Arabidopsis thaliana: one gene and its partners. The protein of the gene in region 2 purifies or fractionates together with the protein of the main gene of each other region. This does not show direct contact. Each region holds a gene or a part of one and is shown on either strand. Other genes may lie near its edges. The genes, in order: AT4G08140, AT4G31490, AT4G19006 and AT2G21390.

Region 1 (5,030 bases), about 10 Mb from region 2:
TTCATTAATACTAACTAAACTGAAACTGAAATTCAACATTACAAACACATAAACTGAAACAAAACAAACACAACTACTTAAAACAAACAAAGAGCATGAAACGGAACACATTACAAACCACATTACATAAACTGAACACATTAATAACTTAATTCAATAGATCAGAGATTAGCTTGTTCTTAAGAGTTATCTCTATGTCAGTTAGAGGCTCAGTTTTGGCAAAGATTTGTTCAAGCAATTTAGTCAGACCAATATTCTCTTCTCTTCTCTTCTTTGTTAATTAGCTTCTCTCTCGCCGCCAAATCTTTCTCCTTAATATCCCAAATAAGTTGTAACTCTTTCAGATTGTCACCAGACGCACTACTCGGCTTGGCTTGGAATTTGGTATTAGCTGCCTTAACTCCAGGGGAACGAATTTTGCTTTGGCTTTGGTTCTCTTCAATGCCAGCTGGAACACAGACACTTTCTTCTCTTTGTTGTTCTTTGCACTTTCTTCTCTTTGCTGTTCCTGTTGTAGGAAACTCACTTAACCAGTTCTGCTCATAGCGAACCGCACTCCAAGCATGTTCAAGGGTGAAATTGGCGCCATAGTCCTCGTAGAAAATCTGATGAGCCAAGTTCACCAAATCATCATCATTTTGGCCACTTGTTTGGTGTTTGGTTGCAGGCATAAAGCTTCCCACATACTTGTTCACACCCTCATTTATTTTTGCAAATTTCTGTTTACAGCATAATGTGCTTCTTTTTCAAAAACCTTTGAGCTTCTGACTTGTAGCAAAATAATCAGTTATGCGTTGCCAGAAGGTTCTAGACTTTTGCCCGTTGGAAACAACATGATCCTTGGACGTGTTCAGCCAGCTAGTTATCAGGACCAAATCTTCTATTAGAGACCATTTGCGTCTTGATTTCCTCTCTGCAATTGGCGCTTCATCTTTCTCTTGATCATCAAACCAATGTACTAAACACATGGACATCAGATGATCCAAGTTCTATGTTAGGTGGAAAACGTTCAAACTGAATTGGTGGAATGGTTTGATTCTCTTGAAAGATGATTAGGGAAAGATTTAAAGGAATCCATAACCTTGTTTGGTTTGGTTGTTAAAAAGATAAGAGAAAGATTTTTCAGCTTGAAGTTATGTGATTTAAACTGTGTTTTTCAGCTTGAAGTTATGTTGTTAAATAGATGCGGTTTTAGAAGCTTCAAGTTAGGGTAGGGTGTTAAGTTAAAGCTCTTTGATATTGATCACAGAGAGCAATAAATCACATAGAGCTTTTACTTACACTTAACCTACCAAGCATTCAATAAAATAGACCATAACTATGATAATACTTTTACCCAATGTAAACCACTCCAAAATACACTAGTTAACATGCATTTATCACAGTTAAAAAACAGTTAGCTTTTATTGCTTAGACCAATTCAGAGAAATTTTGAGCGCAATAACTAAGAGAGAGCTTTTAAAAGCTTCAAGTTAGTATTAGGTGTTAGAATTTTTTTTTTTTTTTTTTTTTTTTTGATCAAAGGTGTTAGAATTTTATTTAACCATAGAGAACAAATACTTTCTTCTAAGCATTTAAAATATTAATGTAATGCTATCTCAACTCAAAAATATATTGCATTTAAACAGAGAAACAAATAAACTAATCAAAAGCAGACAACAAATAATCAAAACCGGACATCAAATAATCAAAAGCAGACATCAACTAATCAAAAGCAGACATCAAATAATCACATATCAAAAGCAAAATCAACAAATCAAACTCAGACAACAACTACTAGATGAATTAAAGAAGGCTCAGTTCTACCTTCGTGTTATCAAGAAATAGTGCAATCTGTAGAGCGTGGTAAGGGCCAGGACAGACAGGATATCAGAAATGTACTTCTGCAAACATAGCAAATGTAATTTTTAAGCCATACCAATATAAGAATTGTTAATAACTTGAAATCAATGATGACATACCTTGAGATTAGAATCAGCCATTGTTTCATGAAACGCTTTAAGAGTTACATACTGGGGACGCAGAAACTTTAGTGGTTTGGGAACTGAAGTCATTGAACTTGTTAAAGCTCGGATTTCCTGCCTACAAAACCAAAAAAAAATTAAAAACTCCAACAAGGGTAGAACACAAGGAGCAGAAAAGAAAGAAAAACTTTATAAATTATGAGCTTCAAAGACAGTAATCTGAAAACCCGAAGCTAATCAAGTCAAGAATTACCTCATACTCTCAAGAGCAGCCTTCTGCAAGTCCGGATTAGGATCCTGAACCATCTCAACATAGAGCTTAAGGTTCTGCTTTAGTTCCAAATCCTCTTAAGACTACAATCACAACCCAATGTAAGTCGAGTCATTAGTCCTGTGAACATATATAAAAAAAAAAACTCTCCTCACAGCACAAGTTAGCAACTTTTTAATCCGGCTATACTAATGACGAACAAAACATTCACTTTGAACATGCTTATTGTTTTGTTTTTGTATATCTCCTTATGCTTTGTAAAACCACGTACAATACTGTAATTGATATGTTCTCGTAATAAGAAAAGAATACGAACCCACTTAGTCTTCATAATTAGATTCATCATATCGAATCAAAGATGAAAAGATTTATTACAAAAATAAACCAAATTAAAACCGATAAATAAGTTTTTTTCTACTATAGACACAACATTCCAATTGCCATGGTGATTGAACAACCATAGGAAAAAACGATTATCATCTTCATTTCTTCTCTCTTTGTTCTTTTCCATCCTCTCTTTGTTCATTTCCATCTTCATCATTCTAACTTCCTCTTTGTAACGCCCGTGAACCGGAAAATCAGTTAGAGTTTGTTTTTAAATCATCCGGTTTAATTGATTGGGTTAATTGGAAACCTTAGAGTATGCCTATAAAAGAAGTAAACTCGAAATTAGGGCTTTGGTTAGCCACTTTTCGTTTTATAAAGGAGAAAAAGAGAGAAAAGGAGAACGAGCAGAATCGTTAGGGTTTGGGAGAAATCAGTTTCGTCATATCAAATCGTGGTAAAAGGTAACGAAATTTGGCAGAGTTATTCCCAAGTCCTTTATCGTTATTCTCCAATTTACAGAATTGGATTTGGATTCAAATTGGTTGAGTTATTCGCAGTTTCGTGAGACACGTTTTCTCAGACGCGAATTAGGACCAGCGGAGATTGAAACTGAGATCGTGGTCTCGTCTGTTTTCCGATCGGCACGAGATTTTGTGGTCAGCTTTGTGACGTCTGCAGCTAGGATTTCACCGGAGAGATTGAATAGTTAACGGTTAGTTTGTATTTGAGGGTTTCGTCTTTGAGACTGCTTGTTTCTGGTTTTTCCTGTCCAGTTTGCTTCAAGGTTGCTTTTGGTTGTGGACTTTTTGTAGGACGTTTCTGGACTGTTTCAGACGCAAGGAGAGTCTCTCCTGGGTTTAATTGCTATTAGAATCAATTTGTTAAGGTGAGTGCGTGACCATGAGCTTATCTGAGCGATAGGGTTGTGTGATTTGTTTTGTGTGATGATATGTAGGTGTGGTGAATGTGTTTTGGATGAATTGTTCAATGACTGGTTTGTTTGTATTGTATTCGTGATTATACCTTTTTATTTGCTTGTGTGTATAGCTCGTAGATGGGAGGATCGCCTCACTAAGTATTTATGATAATACTTACGCATCTCATTGTGTTGTTGATACAGGTAAAGATAAAGTGTGATCGTGGAATCATGGCAAGGAAGAGAGGATGATCTAGGAACTCGTTTGTTTTATTTTTGGTGTTTTTGGTTATTGGAACCCGGTTAGGATTGTTAGTTATTCTTGGTTTTGTTGGTCGAATTATTTATTTATTCATTAAATAGTATTTTTGACTTGTGGTTTAATTGTTATTCTATTGGTTGGTTTAATTAGATATTTATGGAAATATTTAATTATTTTTTTTAAAAAAAATGGGTCGGGTTGTTTCAATTTGGTATCAGAGCGATTACGGTTCTAAGATGTGTAGAAAAATTAATTGATGAATTATTTTCCTGTTGATTGATGTGGGATGAGCTAGGGTGTTAGCATATTGAGGATTGATTATGGAGTGTTTAGTCAATTGTGTGTTGTTGGAGTTCTAGCATCATCTTCTCCAAGCCTTAAATGAGATTCCACGGTAAGTTGTTTGTGATATATTCGTTTGTTTTAGTTTCTTAGCCATTTGTTTTTGAGTAGCGCAGATGGTTAGAGGAGCTGGAGTTCGTGGTCGTGGTCGCGGTCGTGGTCGCGGTAGGGGACGAGTCCTCGAGGGTACCGGCGAGAGTGATGGCCACAGTGCCACAGTTGAGCAGAGTGGGTTCGCAACCTGAGTTTGTGGAGCCCGGGGTTAGGAACGGTCTTGGTGCCGATATAGCTGGTGCAACCGGAGTGGGGGCTGGTGGTGTCGGTACCGGTGTGCATGCCGTTGGTGCTGAGGGCCCAGGAGTGATGTGTGCCGCAGCCGGAGGAGCCCAGGTTCCAAAGGTTGGTTTGGCGGGCCTTGTGAGGCAGTTGTTGGAGCGGTTACCAGGTTTGGTACCAGTGGAGGCTCCAGTTGCGCCACGAGCGGCGGAGGTGCAGCAGCGGGCTGCGGTTGCTGAGAAGGTTCCATCTTATTTGGGGATGATGGAGCAGTTGCAGAGGATTGGCACCGGTTATTTTTCTGGTGGTACTAGTCCTGAGGAGGCCGACAATTGGAGGTCGCGGGTTGAGCGGAACTTCGGTTCAAGCAGATGCTCGGCGGAGTATCGGGTAGATCTAGCAGTGCATTTTCTAGAGGGGGATGCACATTTGTGGTGGCGGAGTGTGACTGCCAGGAGGAGGCAGGCGGATATGTCTTGGGCAGATTTCGTGGCTTAGTTTAATGCCAAGTACTTTCCGCAGGAGGCGCTCGACCGTATGGAGGCGCATTTTCTTGAGCTGATACAGGGTGAAGGAGGACCTTCAGAGGTAGGAGGGGGGAGTGAGTCCAGCGGTACAACCGAAGAAGACTCAGCAGCAGGTGGCACCTAGCAAGGGCAGCAAGCCTGCGCA
Region 2 (9,244 bases):
CTCGCTATGCACAAGAAAGAACACCTCGTTCTTGCACCAACGAAACACATCTGATGCTATATATATCATTAGGACGTTTCTGCTGGTAGATATGGCGTGACCAATGGTTATTTTTCATTGCAATATCCCTTTTTGTTTTAATGAGTACTATGTTCTCATTTTAACGAATAAAAATGTATCAGTGCTCTTGTTTTTGGACTAGAAAAGAAAGTAGTCCGATGTTTAATATTCGGGTCCCTTTAATATTCCCTCTGGTTTACAATATTTTAAGCTATCTTAGTAAACATCTATAATGTGAATATATGACTAGAAAACAAAAACATGTCGCTAACAAACAATAATATGAATTTATGACGAAGAAACCAACATGTTGCTAAAAACAATAATATGAATACATGAGGAAGTTTCGTTGACAATGATAAGTAGTGGAAGACTTGACTTTGGATAGCATCTTGCCAATATGTTGTCCTACGTCACATACGAAAGAAAAGTAGGAAAAGAAAAACTTTTGTTCTGCGAAAAGAGAGAACCACGAAAGGCAAGAAAAAAAAAAACAGAAGTAGAGATCGTATATGAAATGACGAGTCTAAAATGGAACAAACCCATGTAACTTTGAAATCTACTATTGATAACGCGTTCAACAGTTCAGTCTCCTCGATAAACAAGATTATAGAAGAAAAAGTATTACAAATAAAACAAAATCGTCTAGTACTGTAAAAAGACAGCCGGTTGAGGAAGAATCCATCGGTACCATACCGGAAAATATACCGGCTTAGGAAGAATAATAACAAATTACTCTTTACATATCCTTTAAACGACTCTTCTCTCCATGTAGTAAACAGAATCAACCAACGAAAAATTGCTCAAGAGAGAAACGTAGCCTAAACCTTTTACCTTTTACCTTGCACGCTATCATTCCAAGCCTGTGAGAAATCATCGTTATGGTAATGAAAATTAGACCAATTAAAAGTTTAAGGATTCAAACATTTATGGATTGCATTGAGAGATAGAAAATGTTTCCAAAAGATTAGCTAACCTCAGCTACCACCCTTTTGTTTGAGGGTGATTTTGTCTCCAAGACTTAGAGCAATCCCTTGCGTCTTGCTCCTTATCCTTATGTAACCACTCAATGTTCCATCCGTTTGCTTCTCAATACTCAAATTCACAAGAGCATCCTCACCAAACACACTTTTTGCATATAAGTTTGCTGCAAGGAATCCACATTCACCTGCTATTGCAGATCTGCAAGTAAAGAAGTATTAATTAGTAAGACGAGTTTTTCGTTTCTACAGGATGAAAGAAGAATTTACACTTACGGAGCAGTGAGACATTTCATGTTTGTGGATTTGATAATGTGGTCGAGGAATTCTCTTTCGTTTTGAATTGTGGTGTTCACAGCAACCTGACATGAATAATACAACAGGCAATGGTTATACCAAAATCTAACAAACAAACAAACAAAGAAGGTAATACTTTTAAAAGGTTTCGGTAAATTACCTTGTTTTCCCATTCAAACTCTGCCCACATAGTTCTGAAAGCAACCTCTGAGCACACAGCAGGGGAGATATAGTCCATGATATCAATGTGTATGTCGTTAAGAACCACAACATTGCGCTCCATTACATTTGATGTCTCATAGACGATGTTCCCGAATATGACTCCTGTCTCTGTGGACGAGACCTTGATGTTTGCTTTAATCTGCATGCTTCTTTCAGGTGCCAGACTATAGTTCTGAGGACGCTCAACAAGTTTGAGATCACCCATGGTTGCTAACTCCAAGCACAAGTTCTGAAGGGTTTCCTTGGTTCGGTTGATTACTGTAACTTCAAGAGCAATATCATAATGGTGTACCGTTACATATGCTTCAGCATAGACTGGGTCACTGAATCCTGTGAGTTGAAGAATGCGGTTAAGTTTGTTAGCATCGTTCTCGTCCTTGGTGAATTCTCCAGTTGCACGCTTTAGGTCATCTTGTACCTGGTCTTCCAACTCAAGTTGACTCATTCCCTGAAAGAAATTTATCATCAGTAAGCTCATCTACAGACCAAAAGAAATAAACATAACATGCCATTATATACTTTTGCCATCTTTCTTTAAAAATGGAGAAAAAATCGGATATGAACTGTAAGAGAAAGCAGATAAAAACTAAACAGAGTGCGAAGGAAAATCATAAGGAAAAGAACACACAATAAAGCGAGGGAAAGCTTAGAAAATAATAATATTACCTTCCGACTCTTTAGATGGAAGAAGTCAATTAGATCATCCGGTTGAGCATGAGTTGTTTGGGTCTTTGCCTTCAGTTCCTCCATCTCTCTAAGCTGTTTTTCAGAAATCATCTTGACAAAACTCTGGCGGCAGGATTCCAACCATATCTTTTTCATCTCAACATTCCTATGGCAAAGCAATTTTATGCACAACATAATCCGCTCATACGAATCATTATCAATAGGGTGTGGAGAAACAGGAGATTGCCCAAGTTGCAAAATAGAAACCATGATTAGCAAAGCCTGTGATACTGTCTTGTTTACTTCAGTTTTGGAAGACTGAACCTCTTCCAACCTAAGAACAAGTTTGGTCAACGTGCAAGCAACCACAGCTCCGAGGAAAAAATCACCAGTTAGAAGGAGTGCCCTCAAATTTCCAGAAGTCAGTGATCCTTGAACAACTGTAGGCGAGGAGAATGTGGTTTCAGAGGCTGCGCTTTGTGTAGCATAAGTTCCATCAGCAAGAATAACTGGCTTTCTAGAGGACACCATGGCAGAAGAGGTAGGCTGAATCTTCTTTGATGTCTCAGTTGGCTCAGACTCCTCAGAAACAGAGTAAAATGGTAATTCGCCAAGGCATTGTGTAATAGTTGAAATGCCACTCTCAACTTCTGAAAGTGATAGGCAATACTCACCAATGATCCAAAGTGCACAAGGGCAGACCTTTCCTGCACGGATCTGATAGAACGTGTCCAACAACCTGGTGATGATTGAAACTCTCAACTTGGGATTTGTTTCTATTATCTCTCTAACGAAAACAACCACGTCAAGAGCTGAAGCCACGTTGCTATCTCCCAGGAAATCCATCAGAAGATGGACCACTGTGCTTGCAACTTCGGGGAACTTAACTGCACAAGCATGGATGGCTTGAATAAGCATTTGCCTGTACTCTCCATTCTTCTCAAGTTCTCCACTCTGTGTCTTCACAACTTCTTTCTTCAACATTTGAACGACTTCATTAATATTATGATGGGTAATCAAGTCAAGGGCAATGTCAAGTGTCTTCCTGCGGATATCAAGGTTTGGGCTTGAGAGTGCTCTGAGCACATCGATTATCAGCTCAACCATGATATCTCTGTGCAATGTCTTAAGCTCATACAACCGATCGAGCAAGATAAGCTTCACATTGTTGTCACTCTGAGAAAGAAGAAGTTGGCAGTAGGTGTTGGCAGCAGCTCGAATAGCAGTAGGGGCAGATGAGAGAGAAACAAGTGTCCCAGCACATTCATAGATAACTGCAGAAGAAGTAGCACTTAACAGAGAAATAATAATTTTAATATATTTTCCCTTCTCCGCTGGTTTAGTCTTACACACACTTCGAATCAGCTCCAGCACCACCATCTGAAGTGATTCATTCCAGTCTGAAACCTTGTCAACATTGCTCAGAAGATAATTCACTGCACGTTCTTCGGCACAGGTAAAGAGCATTAGAAATGCATTTCTCTTGGCAGAAGGATCTTGTTCTGTTGATAGAACTTTCTCGATCATTTCAGGTGCATCCACGAAGAGTTGGTCGCCATGTGGAAGTTTATATATCGACATGATTGCCAGAATTGCATTCCTGCGAACAAATGGATGGCGATGCTCCAGATTTTGTAACACTGATGGAGTCAAAGGTTCCACTATTTCAGTCTCCTTCATCCGACAGAGAAACCTCAGTGTCACTCCACGGATGTACTCATTCGGATGCTGAAGGTTATTACGAAGATTCTGGCATATCAAAATCATTTCAGGCAACACCTTCCCCTTCGAATCTGTCTTTTCAATCAGCTCCAGGTACAGCAACAGAAGCTTTTGGATGGTGTGGTCTTCAGAAGGCAGCACATATCTTATAATGGTAATGAAAAGCTGAGGAATGGTTTCACCATTCAGCAAAAGCATAATTGCCTTCTTCATGGCATCAACTTTAGCTTCAACATCATTTCCTTCGAGAGCTTCTTTAATCTCATTAGCAACTGCTGGAGTCCCTTTGTCATAGTGAACAAGCATGGTACTAGATTTGTCCATCTTTTCAGGTGCTGCACAAAGAGTGAAAAATAAAATAAAATTGTGAGCTCATATGAAAAGGAAAAATCATGCAAGAACAAGTGTACCTATGTTAACATAAGAAATTCAAAGCGAATAGAGAATAGGAACCTAAAATACTGAAAATCGATTTAAAGATAAAATGAAGTAGTATAGATCACAGGTAACAATCAATATATCCAAAATTTTAAGAATTTTCTTTTAATTACTAAGTTAGTATAAGCACCTTACTAGTATCTTCATCACTGCTCGAGTAAGTTCTAAACAAGAAGTTTCAGAGTATCCCCATAATACTACTCAGCAATAATAATCTACACCTCTCTACATATATTTCAGTACAATGAAGAAAGCATCTATGTTCTCAAATCCACGGTATATGAGAAAGCATCATAATCGCTGAAGAATATTCGGTAATGTCTAATCAACGACCCAAAGATGCAAGACATTGACAAATTCAAATCCTCAGATCCAGCAATACACATCACTTTTACTACAACTACGACCAAAACATTAACATAAAATCGAATAATAAAAAAGCTTCGGATCAACCAAAGTTCATATCACAAATGCAATATATCTCCCCAGATTTGATGAACAAACAATGGAATCTACATAGTTCGCAGTCTCACTCAGCTGCACAAACATGAAAATCGTTTGCCTACCGGGATCGGATCAATATTCAACGAGATCAAGCAAAGAACGCCAGAGAATATTGAACATTGTAGATTTTCACAAAGGAAAAGCAAAAGTGGGATCGATCTCTACGAAATCTGAGTCGCAAGTTTAACAGATAGAGACGAACCTCAAGGTAGGAGATCCACGGAGTAACAAAGCTTTGGATCCGTTAGAAGATTTTGGATCTCGGAAAAAAAAACACTCGCACAAAGTGAGAGATTATGAAATGTCCTTAATATTATCGTGGATTCGTCTTCCCTTGTGTTTACTCCTCCAAATCCGATTTTGTTTTTTAGTTTTTTTTCCTTCTGTTTGGAAAACGAAGAACGGAAAGAAGCGAGTCAACCTCGCAGGCCCAAATATTGATTGTTGACAAGCCCAGTCCAATAGAAGTTGAGAAAGCATAGCCCCTACTTTTTTATTGTTTCCAAAACGACCCCAAACTTTTAAAAGTGAGCGTAATTAGGAATTATGTCAGTTTTTCCTTGAAACGTGCTCCAACTTTCGGTTAGAGATGGATGATTTTATGATAGAAGATGATGTATTTGGATCTTTCCTCTTCTACTCGCGTCTAGTATTTTCTTGTCTAATGATGTTAGCGATATCTAGTTACGCGAATGTGTATGTGATCGTCCCTTGGTACCTTGAGGCAAGTGATTTAAGATTATTAAATTTTGCTTAAAAATTATTGCTTGGTTTTCTTGAGAATAGAAAAGGCTGTAAGAATCAAATGTTATGGGTTTGGTTGTGAAGCAATTGGTTTCTTTGGCTTGTAGATTTTGAATATGGTCCATATTAATACATGCGTTTCATTACAACTTACTTGCTAACATAACCCGTATTATATAGCTACTAGCAAATTAAAGTCTAGCTTTGACAATTGAATAGTTCACTTCAAATGCATATGAAAGAAAAGAATAGAGATCAAATCTGAAATGACGAGTTCTAAAATGGAGCAAACCAAATGTAGCTTTGAAATCTACAATATCATAAAGTTCACGGTTTAAAGTCCTCAACAAACGACATTATAGAAGAAAAAGCATTACAAATAAAACAAAATCGTCTAGTACAGTAAAAAACACACTGCCATATGAGATGAAGAAATCCATCGGTACCATACCAGAAAATATACCGGTTAAGTAAGAACGATAGCCAATTACTCTTTTTACATATACCCTTGAACGCCTCCTCCCTCCATATAATAAGCAGATTCAACCAACGATAATTGCTCAAGAGAAACGTACGTAGTCTAAACCTGTTACCTTTGCACGCCACTGTGAGAAATCATCGGTATGGTACTGAAATTTAGACCAATTGCGGTTTAAGGATTAAAACATGTATTAATCGAGAAATAGAATATGTTTTGAAAAGATTAGCTAACCTCAGCTACTACCCTTTTGTTTGAGGGTGATTTTGTCCCCAAGACTTAGGGCAATCCCTTGCGTCTTGCTCCTTATCCTTATGTAACCACTCAATGCTCCATCCGTTTGCTTCTCAATACTCACATTCACAAGAGCATCCTCACCAAATACACTTTTTGCGTATAAGTTTGCTGCAAGGAATCCACATTCGCCTTCTATTGCGGATCTGCAAGTAAAGAAGTATTAATTAGTAAGAAGAGTTTTTCGTTTCTACAGGATGAAAGAAGAATTTACACTTACGGAGCAGTGAGACATTTCATGTTTGTAGATTTGATAATGTGGTCGAGGAATTCTCTTTCGTTTTGTATTGTGGTGTTCACAGCAACCTGACATAAAGAATACAACAGGAATTGGTTATACCAAACTCCAACAAACATACGAAAAGAAGGTACAACTATAAAAGGTTTCAATAAATTACCTTGTTTTCCCATTCGAACTCTGCCCACATAGTTCTGAAAGCAACCTCTGAACACACAGCAGGGGAGATATAGTCCATGATATCAATGTGTATGTCATTAAGAACAACGACGTTTCGCTCCATTACATTTGATGTCTCATAGACGATGTTCCCGAATATGACTCCCGTCTCTGTGGACGACACCTTGATGTTTGCTTTAATCTGCATGCTTCTTTCAGGTGCCAGACTGTAGTTCTGAGGACGCTCAACAAGTTTGAGATCACCCATGGTTGCTAACTCCAAGCACAAGTTCTGAAGGGTTTCCTTGGTTCGGTTGATTACTGTAACTTCAAGAGCAATATCATAATGGTGTACCGTCACATATGCTTCAGCATAGACTGGGTCACTGAATCCTGTGAGTTGAAGAATGCGGTTAAGTTTGTTAGCATCGTTCTCGTCCTTGGTGAATTCTCCAGTTGCACGCTTTAGGTCATCTTGTACTTGGTCTTCCAACTCAAGTTGACTCATTCCCTGAAAGAAACTTATCGTCAGTAATTTCAACTACTGACCGAAATAAATAAACATAACATGCCACTATCAACTTTCGAACTTTCTTTGAGAATGCGAAAAAAAAAATTGGATATGAACTGTAAGAAAAAGTAGACACCAACGTAACAGAACTGAACAGATTGAAAAGGAAAACTCATATGGAAAAAAAAACCCAATAAAGCAAAGGGAAGCTTAGGAAGTAATAATACCTTCCGACTCTTTAGATGGAAGAAGTCAATTAGATCATCAGGTTGAGCATGCGTTGTTTGGGTCTTCGCCTTCAGTTCCTCCATCTCTCTAAGCTGTTTTTCAGAAATCATCTTGACAAAACTCTGGCGGCAGGATTCTAACCATATCTTTTTCATCTCATCATTCCTATGGCAAAGCAATTTTATGCACAACACAATCCTCTCATACGAATCATTATCAATAGGGTGTGGAGAAACAGGAGATTGCCCAAGTTGCAACATAGAAACCATGATCAACAAAGCCTGTGTGACTGTCTTATTTACTTCAGTTTTAGAAGACTGAACCTCTTCTAACCTAAGAACAAGTTTGGTCAACGTGCAAGCAACCACTGCTCCGAGGAAAAAATCACCAGTTAGTAGCAGTGCTCTCAAATTTCCAGAAGTCAGTGATCCTTGAACAACTGTAGGTGAGGAGAATGTGGTTTCAGAGGCTGCGCTTTGGGTAGCATAAGTTCCATCAGCAAGAATCACTGGCTTTCTAGAGGACACCATGGCAGAAGAGGTAGGCTGAATCTTCTTTGATGTCTCAGTTGGCTCAGACTCCTCAGAAACAGAGTAAAATGGTAATTCGCCAAGGCATTGCGTGATAGTTGAAATGCCACTCTCAACTTCCGAAAGTGATAGGCAATACTCCCCAATTATCCAAAGGGCACAAGGGCAGACCTTTCCTGCTCGGATCTGATAGAACGTGTCCAATAACCTTGTGATGATTGAAACTCTTAACTTGGGATTTGTTTCTATTATCTCTCTAACAAAAACAACCACGTCAAGAGCTGAAGCCACATTGCTATCTCCCAAGAAGTCCATCAGAAGGTGGACCACTGTGCTTGCAACTTCGGGGAACTTCACTGCACAAGCGTGGATGGCTTGAATAAGCATTTGTCTGTACTCCCCATTCTTCTCAAGTTCTCCACTCTGTGTCTTCACAACTTCTTTCTTCAACATTTGAACGACCTCATTGATATTATGATGGGTAATCAAGTCAAGGGAAATGTCAAGCGTCTTCCTGCGGATATCAAGGTTTGGGCTTGAGAGTGCTCTGAGCACATCTATTATCAACTCAACCATGATATCTCTGTGCAATGTCTTAAGCTCATACAACCGATCGAGTAAAATAAGCTTCACATTGTTGTCACTCTGAGAAAGAAGAAGTTGGCAGTAGGTGTTGGCAGCAGCCCGAATCGCAGTAGGGGCAGATGAGAGAGAAACAAGTGTCCCAGCACATTCATAGATAACTGCAGAAGAAGTAGCACTTAACAGAGAAATAATAATCTTAATATATTTCCCCTTCTCTGCTGGTTTAGTCTTACACACACTTCGAATCAACTCCAGCACCACCATCTGAAGTGATTCATTCCAGTCTGAAACCTTGTCAACATTGCTCAGAAGATAATTCACTGCACGTTCTTCAGCACAGGTAAAGAGCATTAGAAATGCATTTCTCTTGGCAGAAGGATCTTGTTCGGTTGATAGAACTTTCTCGATCATTTCAGGCGCATCCACAAAGAGTTGGTCGCCTTGTGGAAGCTTATATATCGACATGATGGCCAGAATGGCATTCCTGCGAACAAATGGATGGCGATGCTCCAGATTTTGTAACACTGATGGAGTTAAAGGCTCCACAATTTCAGTCTCCTTCATCCGGCAGAGAAACCTCAGTGTCAC
Region 3 (6,502 bases), 4.9 Mb from region 2:
TGCAAATATGCTAATTCGAATTAACGCAAAGAGATTCCCAAAATAGCTCTAACCGATTCAATTTTCGATTTTGAAGCATTATTGAGAAATCGAATCACCAAAACCCCAACATTAGAAATCTAAAACCCAGAAACAACAATCAAAATCTATTGTTCCCAGAGAAGAAAGCTATGTTTTTGTAGAAGAAATCAGATCTGGATTATGTCAATCCAACAGCATCTACCGATGATCCCTAAAATCTATTCCCCAGAAGACAAAACATTTAGAGAGCGAGCAGCTTACGAAGCAGACAGATGAGCTGGAGTCTTTGAGACTTGACTGCTCTGTTTCAAAATCTCAAAATCGGAAAATTTTGATTGAAACGAAACGATGGTGATAATTGGGGTTTAATATGTTTTGACTATTTTACCCTTACACTTTTCATTTCAGAAGTTGACAATTTGGATTCATTCCACTATTTGAGATTTATGAGTTTTTCACACGTCTAATAACAAAAGTTGGACCATTTGTTATGCAAATAGGCTTAAGCCTTAAAGGCAACACTAACGATGAAACTCAACTTAATAGGATAGATTCATGTGTCTGTGGAGAACAAAGTTCAAAAGTATAACTGTAATACCTAAAAACTTAAAAGGAAGTTGCATTTAATCCTCAGAGAATGTTACAATCTGTAGCTTAAACGAACAGTGAAGGAAAAAAGAGGAAAGAAGAGTTTAAGCTGCAACAAGATCAGGTGTCTCGGCCTCAACAGATAACAATGTGGTGTGAACCTTATCGACCCAGCTGTCTAGCTGATCCCTCAATGACTTGATCTGCGGTATTCCTAACACCCTCGGTTGCGCCCATGAGACGTAAACTGTTCCATTCACCTGATCTAGTATTCCCTCTATCAAGTGCACCTGCAATAACTCATTCTCCTCAGTTTTCACAATCAACCAATACAGAATCACACATTCAAGAAGATTTCGAGTCTGCGTCTTGCCAATCTTCTTTAGATTTTTAATGTTACTGATAGAATGAGATAGAGAGAAAGAGAGAGGAAAGAAAAAGGTACTCACCGATAAGCTCTTCATGAGAAGGTGCTCAACATCTTCGATTGAAAGTTTAGTACGCTCGGCAATGACACTCAAAGGTATGGTCCTATCTTCAGCAGGTCGGCTGTGGCAAAGATGTTATATACAAGTTAAGTACTAAGTTTGTTTTCATCTGTATATGGGTATAAGATGACTCCTACAGAGAATGAATACCTGAAAATGATCTCAATAAGGCAGAGAATGTTGATCTTCTCTAATAGTTTCTTCTCATTCTCAACCAGTGCTGGTTGAGCACTCAACGATGCATTGTGCACACGACAGAGTTCTTGGTACTGAACTAAATCTCCGTGGTTGAATGCTTGTAGAATGTGGTAAAGCCATTCCACATTTGTTCCAAGCAGACTTTTCAACTGCCATAACATATATAACATGTCAGTGTTCTTTTATCTATAATGGTGAATAAATCTGTGGTTTGCTAATTTGGAGGATGAAGGGAAACTTACAATTGGATGGGCTAACAGTTCCCCAAAGTTATAGATATTCTCCCCAAGTAGAGCTGAAAGCGACAAATCAAAAGCCAAATCCTGAAAGAAACGAAAGTATATGATATTAACATTTTGATTGGAACACAAAGCAATTTACAGAGATAAAGCATTTTTCACTGTAAGTTTCCTTTCATAGAGTGCTAATACTTATCCAAAATTGCTAAAAGACCATTTGGTAACGTAACGACTACATATATCATATATGAATGATTAGAACATTCAGAGGGACGTACCAGCTTAAATGATTCCGAGAGTGAGTCCACAGACGTATAAGCGAGGTAAAGAAGAGCATTTTTATAGAACTCAGAGAACTCTTGACGGACTTTATGGTACTGAGAAGAGACCCAAAAGAAGTTGGCATAAACTGATGGATCAATGTCAGTCATACTATCAAGCAGGCTTTTTCCATCGTCCAAGATTTTCTTGCACTCCTTCTGGTCACCTTGCTCAAGCTTGAACAAAGCTATTTGTGTTTCTATATAGCTAATTGGTTCATTTATCCTTGACTCTTTAGTAGCTTTAAGCTTCTCAATCACTCCTTCAAGATAACTAACTGCAGCTTCTTTCTCAGGATACTGTCGGGAGACTACAACAGCGAAATGCGCAAGCTTCAGAAGATTGATCCTCGTCTCAAAGTCAGTGATGAAATTGTTGTAAAGCTGTATTAAAGCATCTCCAGCCTGCAAAGATTATGAACATAAACAGGGGGAAACACGTCATTAACAAATCTGTAAACCTTGTAAAGCTGAGTTTTTGGGTATCTCTGAGCTAAAATATTCGAAAGCTTTGGTCACAGAAGTGCGATAATTCACCAATACAAAGCTTTTCAATGAATCTGAAAAATCACCTAAGAGTCGGAACGAATCCTTCAGATCTCTCTATAAACCCAAGTCTAACATGACGACTCCTATTAACTTTCTCGAGATCTATGAACCCTAATCACACAGAAGAACTACGAAACGATGAAAATTCAAGAGATTGACCTGAAAGACAGAGAGAGCGATGAACTGCTCGAGCTTAAGAGTGAGCTGATGCCAGAGCTTCTTCTGGTACAGATCTGCGAGCGAATTGTACCACTCACCAAGCTCTGGGTGCGCATTTTTCTGCGATTCAAGGTATTGTAGAGCAGCCATGGTAGATTTTCGAAGAAACAGAAGGCAAAGCTTCGATCTTGTATCGGTTTGGGAGTAAGAAATCCAGAAAAACCCAGCCTTTTAGTAAACTATATTTCTTGAGCTCAAAGACAAGTATTGGGCGATAAATGCAATAGCCAACGATTAAAAGGACTTTTATGTAAATAAAATACTAAGGCTAAAATTACATTTTGGGCTCAGAAAGAATTTTTGTTTCCGTATTGGGTTACAATGCTTTATTCACTGAGAATCAAAGAATGTGTCTGTTTATTTCTTTTGATGCTACAAAACCAATGAATTGAGTTATGAAGGCTATATTAGTGGATCTCTCTGTCTGCTACTTATTACCAAACAAATGAAGAAAGAATCATAGTCTTGAAGAAACAGAGTTTGTAAGAATTCTCTTTAGTTCCTTTCTCAATATCTTCCCAGTTGGAGATTTTGGTATAGAGTTGACCATCACCACTTTCCTCACCTTCCTGTAGGGTGCAACCTAGAACACGTAATGTATAATAATGTATTACATTAATGATCAGTGTTTTGAAATGGGAAAAGCCATTTTGAATTAGTGGGAACCTAACCTGAGAAGCTACATAGCTTATTACATCTTCTTCTGAAAGTGTTGTTTCTTGTCTCCGGACAACGAATGCTACCGGAATCTCTCCACATTCTTCATTTGGGGCACTGAAATGGAAAGTTTGGATACTTTCAGTAGAGTAACAGACTCTGTCGAATTCTCCAAAACTGGATTTGCAGTATCTTTCACTTATTAAACTAGTTTAGTAAATGATCAAGATTTGTTTTTTCGAACTTACGCTGTTACTGCAGCGTCGATAATCAAGGGATGTGAAACAAGAACAGCCTCCAAATCTGCTGGAGCGATCTGCAAAAACCATAAATGCAAAGAATTAATATTTCCTAATTTAGAGTTGGCTGAAAGAGAAACTGCTGTTCCTTTACCTGAAAGCCTTTGTACTTTATAATCTCCTTAATACGGTCAACAATAAACAAGTAACCATCTTCATCAAAATAAGCAATATCCCCAGTACGTAGCCAACTATCTTCAACTATACTCATCTGAGTTGCTTTTGGGTTATTCAAGTATCCTGACAGACAAATGAACGGTGTTCAGATTCTCTCCAAGTAAAATTAAAACTGTTCCATAAAAATATGTAGCACAAAATCAAGAACAAGATAATAAGCCTAATCTATCAACACAAGCACCAAATAAGCCCCACGAAAGTTGGAAGATCCAATCTATATTTACATTTATTAGGATGCAAGTGTTTCTCAGTGATTTGAACCATTGACAAAAGACTTTATTCATGAACTGAGAAGGAAAATCTCAACTATTTTGGTAAAGAAGTACAGTAGGAAGAATCTATCTACCTTTCATGACACCGGGACCTTGTATCCAGAGCTCTCCTCGGTTTCCTGGTGGAAGGAAAGAACCAGAGCTCCAATCTACTACCTTGGCTTGCATATTAGGAGCCAGTAGTCCCACAGAAGAATACCTACTAAGCTTTTCCGAGTTGAAGCCCCGTGTTCCAACTGCAGTTGATTCAGTCATTCCATATCCCTGCAACAAAATGTGATCCATTTTATACACACTTTCAGCTAAATGTAAAGAAAATAATAGTGTGAGTCAAAAAGTCATGGCCTCGTTAAATCAATTTTAGTTGTTTCTTTTGGGAAGAGATGTCAAATTTTTCTAAAAAATGTAGATTCTACTTCTTATTGAGTTTATGAATGAATAACATTTAATTCAGTTTTCTAAAACGACATCCAAAAGTAAAATTCAGAGACCTGAATCAAATCGACATGAGGAAGAGTCTGAAGGAAATCTTCAATGAACTTCCTACTCAAAGGAGCTGCTCCAGAAGAAACTTGCTTCAAACTTTTAAACACTTCACCACAAACTCCTTTTGCCTTCTTTGTCAATGCCATCAACATAGGTGGAACAACCGGGAAATGAGTGATCTTAAACCTTTCAATTACATTAACAACATCAGAAGCATCAAACCTCTTCATAACAACAATAGTTGATCCCAGAGACAACAATCCCATCACAAAGAGTGATAACCCGTAGATATGGCACAAAGGCAAAGCTGCTAGATAAACATTACTCGATCCCGGATATTCGTACTGAGAAGCTTCAAACCTCACAAAAAGCTCCATTGATGCTATCAAATTCCTATGAGTTAACAAAACTCCTTTACTAGCTCCAGTTGTTCCAGATGAATACATAATTGCAGCTACATCGTCTTGCTTAATCAACGGTTTTGGTACAAACCCAAAACTTTCTTTCATAATGGAGTAAAACTTCGGGTTTTCGATACGAATCGAATCAAAATCGTAACTTTCAGATACACTAATCACACTAACCCCCAAAGAACTCAGCTTCTCAACGTTTTCAGTAGAAGTAAAAGCTAATCCAACACTACACTCACTAACTTGCTTCTTAATCTCTCCTAAACTACTCGAAGGATTCATGGTAGTAACAATAGCACCAAGCGAGATCAAAGAGAGGAAAATCATCGGAAAATAGACGGAATTAGGCAAGACGAGTGATACAACGTCACCTTGACGAACACCTAAAACGTGATAGATCCCAGCCGCCATTGATTGAACCATAATCTGTAGCTCAGTGTGAGATATTGAGAACCCGGTTAAGGAATCGATGAGCGCTGTATCGCCGTGGTGTTTGTGTGAGAAAAGAGCGGAGACGGCGTCGAGATTTGGGTCGACGGGGAGGTGTAGGGAAGGGAATTTGCTGGTGTAGATTCCTGTTTTAGAAGAGAACCAAAAGGGAGGGTTTTGGTGAGACGTTTGGGTTTTAGGATTTGGCGGTATGTGAAGATGTGTCGCCGCCATTAGAGAGAAGCAGAGTTTAAGATTCTGCAGCGATCAATATTTACTTCTGATCGGGAAATAAACCAACGACGGAATAGTTTAGTAAAATAATTAATTTAGTTGTAACACTATTATTATGTACTAATTGCAATTAATTGATTTCGAAGAACAGAGAGTGCAAGAAGATCACGTGTGACACGTGACAGTCTGTTAGCAAAAAAAGTACAATAGTCAAAAAATACACACTCACTTGATTTCTTCCCTTTTTCAGTTTTGTTTCCCTATTGGCTACTTTGGATCCCTTTTAGATTCTTTATATTCTCTGATGTTATCGCCGGCCAAATGTGAGTCAGAAGAGGCTCAAGCTCCATTGGATCTCCATTCTTCTTCTAGATCTGAACCGGAATGTCTCTCTCTTGTCCTCTGGTGTCCCAATCCTGAAGAAGCTGCTCCGTCCTCTACTAGAGAACTCATAAAGCTCCCCGACAACGGAGAGATGAGTTTGAGGAGATCCACGACGCTTAATTGTAATTCGCCTGAAGAGAACGGAGGAGAAGGGAGAGTTTCGCAGAGGAAGTCATCTCGTGGTAAGTCACAGCCGCTGCTTATGTTGACGAACGGTTGTCAGCTTCGGAGGTCGCCGAGATTTAGGGCCCTGCATGCAAATTTCGACAATGTATGCTCGGTTCCGGTTACCAAAGGGGGAGTTTCGCAGAGGAAGTTCTCTCGTGGTAAGTCACAGCCGCTGCTTACTTTGACGAACGGTTGTCAGCTTCGGAGGTCGCCGAGATTTAGGGCGGTGGATGGAAATTTTGACAGTGTATGCTCGGTTCCGGTGACTGGAAAGTTTGGGTCGAGGAAGAGAAAGAGTAATAGTGCTCTCGATAAGGTTACTCGCCAATTTTTTTGTTTGTTCTTGTTAGTAGCCACGCAATGC
Region 4 (9,355 bases), on a different chromosome or scaffold from region 2:
ACAATCTTCACATTTTCTCCCCATTATCATCATCATCATTACCTCTGCCTTCCCATTATATACATGTGTATATATATATAAGCATGATATGTGTGAATATATAATTTAGTATAAATAATTGTTAGAAGATGTCGACCATTTTGGCTCTCTTTGTTTGCTTCCTCTTTATGTACAAAAAGAGAAAGAGAATAAGTCTTTTTTTATAGTTCTTTGCTTTTCCTTCTATGAATAACTGGAAAGTTATTGTTATTTTTTAAAGCTTTTTAATGAATTTGATTGGTAGCTACAGTTTAAGTGGTTCAAACAAAAATTACAATACTAAATGATGGTTCAATTACAATAATAAATAGTTAAATACCCTGAATATAACTAGAAATTTGTAGGGGTTTAGTAGTCTTTATGTGGTTTCAGGTGTGAAGTTTTTTGCATTCCCCAACTTAACCATTTTTAGATGCTTTCAGTGACAACTCTTGTAGTGATTAGTTTTATCGCAAAAGTTGTGTGGGGGTTGCTTATTCTTTTCTATTTTCGGGAAGTTTATGCGGTTTTTCTCCACTATACAACAACGGAATAATTTTATCCGGTTACATATAAAACTATATTATACTCATGTATATCTATCCCACAGATTTCTTATAATGATGATGAGTGGGGCTCTTATGGTTATATTTTCTATATGAATTATAAATGATCGATGCTTTGTACCATTGTCGGCCGTAATTTTATTCATATTCCTTGCAAATTGCTTGGTATAAATCAAGATTATTGTGTCAAATTTTTGTAACTCGATTACATAAAAATATCATATTTGCAGAATCATGCTCTCAATCCGTCCATATAAGCTACATCATCACACTATATCAGCCTCTATATATAGAAATAGTATGGAACACAAACCAAAAATCACCTTTAGGACAGGCACGCAGATAGCTATGGCTCTCAGTGAACAGATCAAGAAACATCGATTTGAAAGGTGGGAAGTTCTTAAACAGTTTAACTCTAATCAAGTGAATTTTTAGTCTTTAGTGTTTTGGACCAGATCACGAATGTTTAATGTTTTGGACGAGAACTTGAGATTCGTCGATTGATATGGATGGTGTTCATCATAGGATTCTGTTTATCCAGAAGTTGGAAAGCTTTTTAGAATGCAGTTTGACAGTGGACAAAACTCCATCATTCGTGTGCCGGAGGGGGTTCCATGACATGACTGGCATGACTATCAACGGTCATGTTTCGCTAGGAAGCGTTCATGTAGTTGCTTTGAGGATCCATGAAGCAGCTACATGATCTTGATAGTTTTGGAAGACAAATGTGTGGAAAATTCTCTCACACTCAAATTCAAGCGACCGGACAAATTAAAAAACAGAAAAGAAGTAAAGAGGCAGCTGTGATCGAGTCATTTCGAGAGTTTGTCCGTGAGCTTATCTACCAGTCTTAACGGTTCATCTAACTAACCACATTTATTGGATATTTCTAACTTTTTCGATAATTTTATAAGTATTTGGAATAGTAAATTAGGCATCAACTGAAAATTCACCAAAAGAAAATGGATACAATTCTGAAAATTTATAAAATATTACGTCTATATTTCTCAATCGAGTTTAAAATCCGATAAGCCTAAATGAAATGTCCTGAGACTGTAAAAATAAAATCAAACAAAAAGAGATAAAGCAAGAAGATAAAGTTCTCATGCGTTTGTTACTAAGATAAGAAACAACATAAAGACTTTAAAGAGTAATAGAAGTTGCAGCGGAAAATTCACAAACACCAAAAGCTCAACACTCTTCTTCCATAAAAGAGCATCTCGTACTTACCTCACGATTGAAGCACATAATCATTCTGACTTGTTCACCGGACTTGAGAGGCAGAGCATAGCAAGCCAGATGCGTCTGCGCCAATGACTGCAAGATCACAGACCGAGCAAATGTTACCTTCCTGGCTTGGTACAAACCGGGCAGTGCAGTAAGGACATGCAACGTCTTTCTGTCCTTTGTAGATTGGCACATAAGTGGACCCGCATATCACAAACGGGTTTCTAAAGTCGTAGTTGAGTGTTGTTGCATCTGTCATGTTGCGTTCAGCTGCTTGCATAACTTGTCTAGCCGTCCTGGCCTGGCTCTCAATAGTTGGGTTTGTATCCAACAAACTTCTGGCGAAGTGAGCAGCAGTAGCCATGTTCTTTGACTTGTAGCAGACGGTCATTGCACTGAAGTACGCGAGCCGTAGGTGAGGTGTTTGAAGTTTACAGTGAGTGAAGTAAGCAGCGAGCTCTTGCTGCCTCACCGGATCATCTTTCATCTCTCTCCTCTTGAGCTCCAATTGAAGACCGAGGACATATTCTTTAACAATGATGACCAGTTCCTTAACCTCATCTACTTCTCTTCTTGACTCAACTACCACCAATGGGATGGTTTGGAGAATAGAGAGGAAGACACGAAGAGCCTCAGATAGTTTCCCAGCTGTTGTAGCTTTGTAGCCGGATTTGAGCTTTGCTTCAAGCTGAGAGAAATCAAAAACAAGAGCTGGCGGGCCACGGACGTTAGGACTGGAAGACTCACTCCATCCACGCTCAATGGCAAGAGGAACCACAGGAGATGAAGAAAAGGCACGCAGATAGCTATGGCTCCCACTGAACAGATCAAGAAACATCGATTTCAAAGGCGCAAAGTTCTTAATGCCAAGCTGCCTGTGGAGCAAACGCATTGCAGTGTCGAAGCTTCCTGCTGCAGCCTGCTCAGCAGCAAGGGAAGATTTCTGACTCCAAATCTGACTTACGGGCATACCTTGAGGAGGTGTCACAAAAGTAGATGAACGTGCGTTAGCAGAGGCTTTAGGAGTGTCAAGCTCTGGTGGAAGATCCAAGTCAAGTCCCCATCCACCTTCCTCGTCGTCTTCTTCTTCACCTGCTTCTGCACCATCCAATATGGCTTCGATGTCTGTGTTCTCCATTCCATCAACATCGAATTTGTCAAGTCCCTCACCCCAGTCGCCTTCAACATCTTCTTCTTCTTCATCAACAGCCCCTCTGTTTGCACTCTCAAGTCCTCCTTCAAATATTCCTTTCATCACTCTCAGTAGAGGCCAATCACCACCACACATGATGGGAGACGGTGGCATTAAAAGCGATGGAGTCTTCCCTTCAGGCAATGAAGGCACATTGTCTCCTAGCTCAATTGCTAGTCGCTCAGCAATGTCAGTTAAACCATGAACCGAAGCTGTGATATAAGCTAGAGGCAAATGACCAGCATTCTCTAGTATCTTAACACGCTCTTTAACATCTCCTAGGTAGAGTGCATTGTGAAACTGACCCATTACATTGTTCTTCACCTCTGCAATCTTCATCAACTTTGACAGCTTGTCTAAATTGCCAGTAATGAGATATAGAAAAGATAACCTCTCAAAGTTCTTTGTCTGCTGGTACGCAAACTCAACAATTCTAGAATTTCCTTGACGAAGAGCTTCCACTCCGAGTCTATACCAGTGGTCTTTCTCATTAATCTCTGTAGCGGATGCAACAGCTACACTGATGTTGCCACTTTCAAGAGCCAAGTTGAATCGGATCCTCTCGTCTTCAACAAAGTGTAGGGCAACTTCAGGAAATCCTTTCTGCTGAAGATAAGCGATCATAGCCTGTCCACATAGCTGGGAGTTCTTTATCATGCTCATGACATGATCATATTTCTTTCTCAGTAGTGCAAGCTTGAAAATGTATTCGGTTGCATTAATGGTGATAGCCCTGTTTTTCCCATCCCGGTCCAAGCAAAAGATTGTATTTCCAGACACCTTGGTGATGTAGATTGGGACATCCAGGGTTCTGATGATTCCACTATCTCCATTAGGCAGACAGTACTTGATGTGGTTCAGAGTAGTGTAAATGAAGACACCATTGTCGTCCCATGCTCCACTTTTCACACGTATTGTCTCATGAAGCGTGCACTGTAGGACAAGTTTTTTGCTCGCAATAATGATAGTATGTTTGCTGAGCAAAGCAACACTCTCCATATCGTTAGACCAAACAACGTACCTAACAAACGGTGTCTGAAGCTCACCAAGAACAAGCCTTTGTTGAAGGTCAAATATAACCACTTTATCCTCAGATCTACAAAGCAAATTTCCAGTCCCAGCATAAAAGATAGCATCTGTGGGAATAGGTAAAGAACTCTTTTTAACCACCTCATTCTTTAGATTCTTCACTAACACCTGGCTGGTGCTTTTCTCCAGAACAGCAAACCGATTTCGAGCAATGAACACCGCAGAACCCCCTGTCCCCCTCTTTGCATCTTGTACAACATCACTCCTGCCAACGCTATCTTTCGGTATGATGTACAACTCGTAAGAACCACCATCCAGATCTGAGCAGATTAAGACTGCATTTTCTGTCGGACTGTAGGATAAAGTCCTCGGACTTTGATTCAAGCTTGGGGTACCAGGACGCCGTATAGGAATAACTTGGGAATCTTTTTGAGTTGAATATTCATAGTACCGCAGAAATCTATCTTTGGCATAGAATAACGAATCACCACTCAAAGCAAATGCAGGACGTTCTCTCTCAAGTTTGAAAACAATCATACCATTGTCATGTCCTGCTGCAAGTAGATTAATCTCAGGGTGAACTGCAAGAATCCAGAATCGGTCATGCTCACGACGAAAAGTTTGGATTCCAGTTCGCTTGGTAGCATCCCAGACACGGATGCTTTTATCCTCAGAGTTTGACACGATAATGTCCTGTTTTGCATGGAACATAACGGATGAAACGTTATTCATATGACCTCGCAATGTATCCACCTCCCAAGCTTTAGTTTCTGCAACAAAATTGAAACGCATCAGTACCTCAATGATTCATAAAATTAACTTTCTGTGAAGAAGAAGACAGATATCCATAAGAAATACCATTCATACGCCACAGCTTTACTTGGCGGTCATCGGCACCAGAGACAATGAGAGGAAGTGTGGGATGAAAAGAAGCCCAGTTGACTCCTCTATCATGACCTTCAAGGACGTACTTAACTATAGCGTCAACCCCTCCAAAAAGATCAGAATTCATCTGACTAAATCGCATGAGGTCATCAGCAGGAGATGCTGACTTCTTCTTAAGAGCACCAATGTCCCAAACACGGACAGTCTGATCCAGTGATGCTGATACAACAAGATCTTCCTTTGGATGGAAAGAAGCACACATAACATAATGATTGTGACCAGTCAACACGGAAATACAAGTCCTAGACTGCCAGTTCCAAATGCGGATAGTCTGATCGTCACTAGCACTCACAATCCATGGGTTTTCGTGGTGAAATTGGACAGTGCGGATATAATCAAGATGCCCGAGAAGAGTGAAAAGACACCTGTGAGTTTTGTAGTTCCAAACTTTAATCTTGTAATCATCCCCTGCAACATCCAATGTAATCAATGCCATCAACTACATATGAGTAATGTTCTGTAAGAGCATTATAACTGTAACGAAGAAGAATCCAAGCCATTTGCATTTCTAGTTGTTTGAGTACTTACTTATGTTCAAATAAAATACTATGCAACATGTACCATAAGATCTGGTTTCAATGCACTAGGTCCAAATCATCCAATATGTTATATAAGTAACTTAAACACAAATTATTTACTCCAGCTGGGACTATAAGAGCTTAAGTCATCCATTAAACAAAGGTTGGGAGACCAAGCTAGATCTAGGAACCGAGGAAGCTAACTAGCTAAGGGTTAATACTTAAGCAGATCAGGATTTATCGATCATGAAAGTGTAATAAACAGACTTATTGGCCTACCAATAACAAAGCATACCTCCAGAGACGAATAAAGGCTGTGAGTTGTGGAAATGAACACCACGAACAGGTCCTTCGTGCTCATCAAATCTGTCGATCAAAGTACCCATACGATAATCCCAGAGCTGGATCACACCACTGTGTAAACTCGCGAGAATCCATGGTCGTTTAGGGTGGAAACTCAGACCCTTAACTCGGTTACTCTTGGTCTCGAACTTGGTCAGCATATTCACAGATTACGAAACAGAAACAACTCTACAAAAACCAGATCAACAGAGAATGAAAATCATGGAGAAAGATCAGTTCAAAGAAATCGAAAAACCCGCAAAAGGAAGAAAAAAAACGTAATCCACGTGAAATTGAAAACAGATCTAACGATAAGAAGCAGCAAGATCCGAGAAATCGAGATTCGTACAATGAAGAAGGAGAAGAAATAGAGATTCACCTCAGATCAGATCAGTTCACAAGGGGAAGCGATCAAGCTCAGCTTCACGGTGACGATCAGTAGCATTACCAGAGAAGCGTGGATGCGAGAGCAAGAGAAACACAAGGATCGTCTAGAAGAAGAAGAAGAAGAAGAAGACGGTGAGATTCAGTTTCGTCGTATAGATCTGAATCCCTCCGCTCAGTTATCTCTGTCTCCAATTTGCGTCTCGCTAATTTAATTGGCATGAATTACTCATTTTTACTTTTATTTTATATGGAAGCATCAACTTTACATTTTTTATTCCAAGATAATTAAAATCTGTAAAATTTTGACTACAGAGCTTCATATTTTTAAATCAGATAACACTTCAAATGCTCAATCAAAAAATTATTACATGAGAGAAAACAATATATTAATTGGGGTTATTGAACTGATATTACACAAAAATGTATAGATAAATACATGATTTACGACATTAACCCTGGAGTAATTTCATAATTTCATTAGCCCTGGACTCGATTCCTTTGAGATACTCGGTCAAAATTCGCTGCTGGTATGAACCCCCTTCCTGGTATGATCAGAATAGTTGTGGTTAGAATGATGAATTTTAGAAAACAATATCTGGTTAAAACCCCAACCCAAAACCCGGTTAGCCTCGCATTCACTCCTGAAGAGAATAATAACAATGCAAGCAAATGTGTCATGGTATGTTACTTACAGTTCGAATCAGTGTGCGCTCGATTCGTTTCTTGATAACAGCAGATAGCTCATCAGGTGTGATATCTCCTTTTCCGATTGTTAACCCGTCTACGAAAAGCTTGTTCCATTGTTCCTCAGGAGCTGAAACACACATAATAAACCGATGTGAAGTCTGGCTGGGGTCTATAGTACATGGAAAAGTGGTTGCAGAACAGACCTTTGATCAGAGTTTCAAGAAAATGCTCGGCTTTTACAACTTCGTTCCCTGTGACAATAGCTATAGTGGATGAGATTATGTTCGTAGAAAATGGTTTAGAGTGACTTGGCATAGTTTTCAAAATTGGGCAAATCACCTTTCTTTGCGTAGCTACGCTTGGAGAGGATAGTAGCAGAATAGAGTTGAAGAACTTTTTGCAGCATAGCCAATAACCCTGGTTTGTCTTTATCTTCTTTTGCCTGAAAACAATCGTCAGCCTCAAACATTCAAAAGAATACATCTATTCACTGTAAAGGAAAGACCTCAGAAGTGAAACAAAACAAATTGTAGCACTTACCTGCCGGAGCTGAGCATTAACTTCTGAAAGAAATCCTTCATCTAATTGCCCTTCTTTTTCCCGTTGTATAATTTCCTGTTAATACACTGATCTCAGTAACCATGACGATATCAAATCACAGAATCTAAGACCAGATAACCCTTCTGAATATAGGTTGTATATATAAAAAATGTGTAGATGTAGTAGAAAGTGAAGAACAACTAGTATAAACCTTTTTCATTAGATTGATGGCTTCAGGATCTCTTGGCGGCCATGAAATCTCTTCCACTCCATCTATAGCAGGTCTTAAAATCCCTTTCAGAATATCAGTAGACGTCTCTATCTTTTCCTAAAGGGATATAATGAACTCTCAGTTATCCCTGTTTAAGTAAACGCTGAAGAAGAAGAGACAATAAAACCACAGAAGAAAGAGAAACCCGAGTCTTATTCACAACACAGTCAACTATAGTCATCACAGTTGTAGCTAACTCCTCATAGTCCTTCTGTAAGAAACAAACCGTATTCAAAGCATTAGCGGAAACAAAAGAGATCAAAAGTCTGCTCTATCATTGACATAAACAATATAAACTCATGCCTTGTCATCTTCTGATTTACAAGTATCCGACCTAGCTGCTAGTCTTATCCAAAAAACCTCATCAAAAGCAAGGATATTTTCAACAACAATCTTCTCAACCTGTTCAATGAAAATGGCAACAACAACAAAACAAAACTCAATTTACTCAAGATAATAGAGCAAAAACACAACATTTATACGATGCATATGACATGTTTCCTTACTTGTCTAGGGTTTGCATCTCTAAGAGCATCAATCATCCGATCGATTTCGACAGTCTTCTTAAAGGCATCTTCTGGATCTCCCTTGACTGCACAGATCAAAGTTCTCCTGTTTTATTAGACCCAAAAGATTGCAATCAATTATCTCATATCCAACTGCATTACACAGAATCATCGCTTCAAGGGCCAAATCCTACTGAAATCGTTAACTAGAACATAATCACCTTCGGTTCAAATGGAGTCCAGAGAACAGAGAAAGCTTCCATAGACTCGAAGATACTAAAACCCTAGAACCCAATCTCCAAAGCGACCCACTCTACTTGAAAAAAACGGAGGAATGAAGTCATAACAAGAAGAAGGTAGTTCTCGCTAATTATGAAGAAATAAGAACAGAGAGATTCACCTGCTCGCGTTGTTGATGATGATGATGAGAATTGCAAGAGAATAAGCATTGAACAGGGGATATTGCCGCCATTAAAGTGAAGGCACCGCACCGAGAAGCTACAAGCTCCGAATTTCTGAGGACCGTTCAAACAAACTCTCGGTAACCAAATCCTCGTTGGCGAAAACCGAAAAAAAAACAATATATGGTCGTATCATTTAGGCTCACTAGATCCATTGGGCCGTAACAACCACTCTGATCCAAAAATATTTACATGTGTTATTGGTGTATTAAATTCGGTATGTATTAAATTTCTTAAAAAAAAATAAGAATTTAGCATAGATATAACTAAGTAAAAATTATTATTAAAATTAAAAATTACAATATAAGTTAGAAGAGATCAAAGGTTTGTGTGGTTTGCAGTAATTCATCGATGATAATTGGTGTAGTTTGGTGTTCTTGTGTATCACTGTTGCATTCGTACACTATTCTCCATTGTACAACTGTATGTTTTTTCTAAAAAACTGTACACAAATTTCATGAATTAGCAAAATAATTTTTAATTACTTACTTCAAATTTTGAACTTACTATGAAACGGCTATGATATGTTTCCTATTTTTCTGTTAGCATGTTATGTTTCCTCTTTCTTTACCACATTTTGAACAGAAAGATATAACAAAGACATTACATACAAGAAAACAAAAAACAACTTGTAATAAAAGAATTCGAGCCTGCCGTTCTGGAAAA

Evidence for each region.
Region 1: the proteins of AT4G31490 (region 2) and AT4G08140 fractionate together in Arabidopsis thaliana (co-fractionation; one large-scale study listed by BioGRID). This does not show direct contact.
Region 3: the proteins of AT4G31490 (region 2) and AT4G19006 fractionate together in Arabidopsis thaliana (co-fractionation; one large-scale study listed by BioGRID). This does not show direct contact.
Region 4: the proteins of AT4G31490 (region 2) and AT2G21390 fractionate together in Arabidopsis thaliana (co-fractionation; one large-scale study listed by BioGRID). This does not show direct contact.

The regions. Positions count from the first base shown.
Region 1 is NC_003075.7:5,132,913-5,137,942, reverse strand, and holds AT4G08140 (26S proteasome non-ATPase regulatory subunit-like protein), read right to left. Parts: upstream 2,271-5,030; coding exon 2,218-2,270; intron 2,083-2,217; coding exon 1,962-2,082; intron 1,884-1,961; coding exon 1,803-1,883; downstream 1-1,802.
Region 2 is NC_003075.7:15,264,487-15,273,730, reverse strand, and holds AT4G31490 (Coatomer, beta subunit), read right to left. Parts: upstream 5,286-9,244; 5' UTR 5,092-5,285; exon of another isoform or gene 4,516-5,091; intron 4,283-4,515; 5' UTR 4,272-4,282; coding exon 2,226-4,271; intron 2,008-2,225; coding exon 1,498-2,007; intron 1,403-1,497; coding exon 1,317-1,402; intron 1,243-1,316; coding exon 1,038-1,242; 3' UTR 1,037-1,037; intron 924-1,036; 3' UTR 501-923; downstream 1-500. Other genes in the region: CYP83B1 (cytochrome P450, family 83, subfamily B, polypeptide 1), read left to right, coding at 1-54; AT4G31480 (Coatomer, beta subunit), read right to left, coding at 6,347-6,551, 6,626-6,711, 6,804-7,313, 7,541-9,244. UniProt on the Arabidopsis thaliana protein: The coatomer is a cytosolic protein complex that binds to dilysine motifs and reversibly associates with Golgi non-clathrin-coated vesicles, which further mediate biosynthetic protein transport from the ER, via the Golgi up to the trans Golgi network.
Region 3 is NC_003075.7:10,408,636-10,415,137, forward strand, and holds AT4G19006 (Proteasome component (PCI) domain protein), read right to left. Parts: upstream 2,833-6,502; 5' UTR 2,713-2,832; coding exon 2,563-2,712; intron 2,260-2,562; coding exon 1,813-2,259; intron 1,619-1,812; coding exon 1,538-1,618; intron 1,445-1,537; coding exon 1,248-1,444; intron 1,159-1,247; coding exon 714-1,158; 3' UTR 513-713; downstream 1-512. Other genes in the region: AT4G19010 (AMP-dependent synthetase and ligase family protein), read right to left, coding at 3,080-3,205, 3,294-3,396, 3,528-3,595, 3,673-3,818, 4,102-4,291, 4,519-5,586; CMT2 (chromomethylase 2), read left to right, coding at 5,891-6,454. UniProt on the Arabidopsis thaliana protein: Acts as a regulatory subunit of the 26S proteasome which is involved in the ATP-dependent degradation of ubiquitinated proteins.
Region 4 is NC_003071.7:9,149,071-9,158,425, reverse strand, and holds AT2G21390 (Coatomer, alpha subunit), read right to left. Parts: upstream 6,487-9,355; 5' UTR 6,217-6,486; intron 6,027-6,216; 5' UTR 5,999-6,026; coding exon 5,791-5,998; intron 5,386-5,790; coding exon 4,891-5,385; intron 4,803-4,890; coding exon 1,849-4,802; 3' UTR 1,520-1,848; downstream 1-1,519. Other genes in the region: SRS3 (SHI-related sequence3), read right to left, coding at 1-39; AT2G21385 (uncharacterized protein), read right to left, coding at 6,674-6,766, 6,917-7,038, 7,115-7,162, 7,251-7,353, 7,452-7,526, 7,663-7,779, 7,868-7,933, 8,026-8,124 and 3 more. UniProt on the Arabidopsis thaliana protein: The coatomer is a cytosolic protein complex that binds to dilysine motifs and reversibly associates with Golgi non-clathrin-coated vesicles, which further mediate biosynthetic protein transport from the ER, via the Golgi up to the trans Golgi network.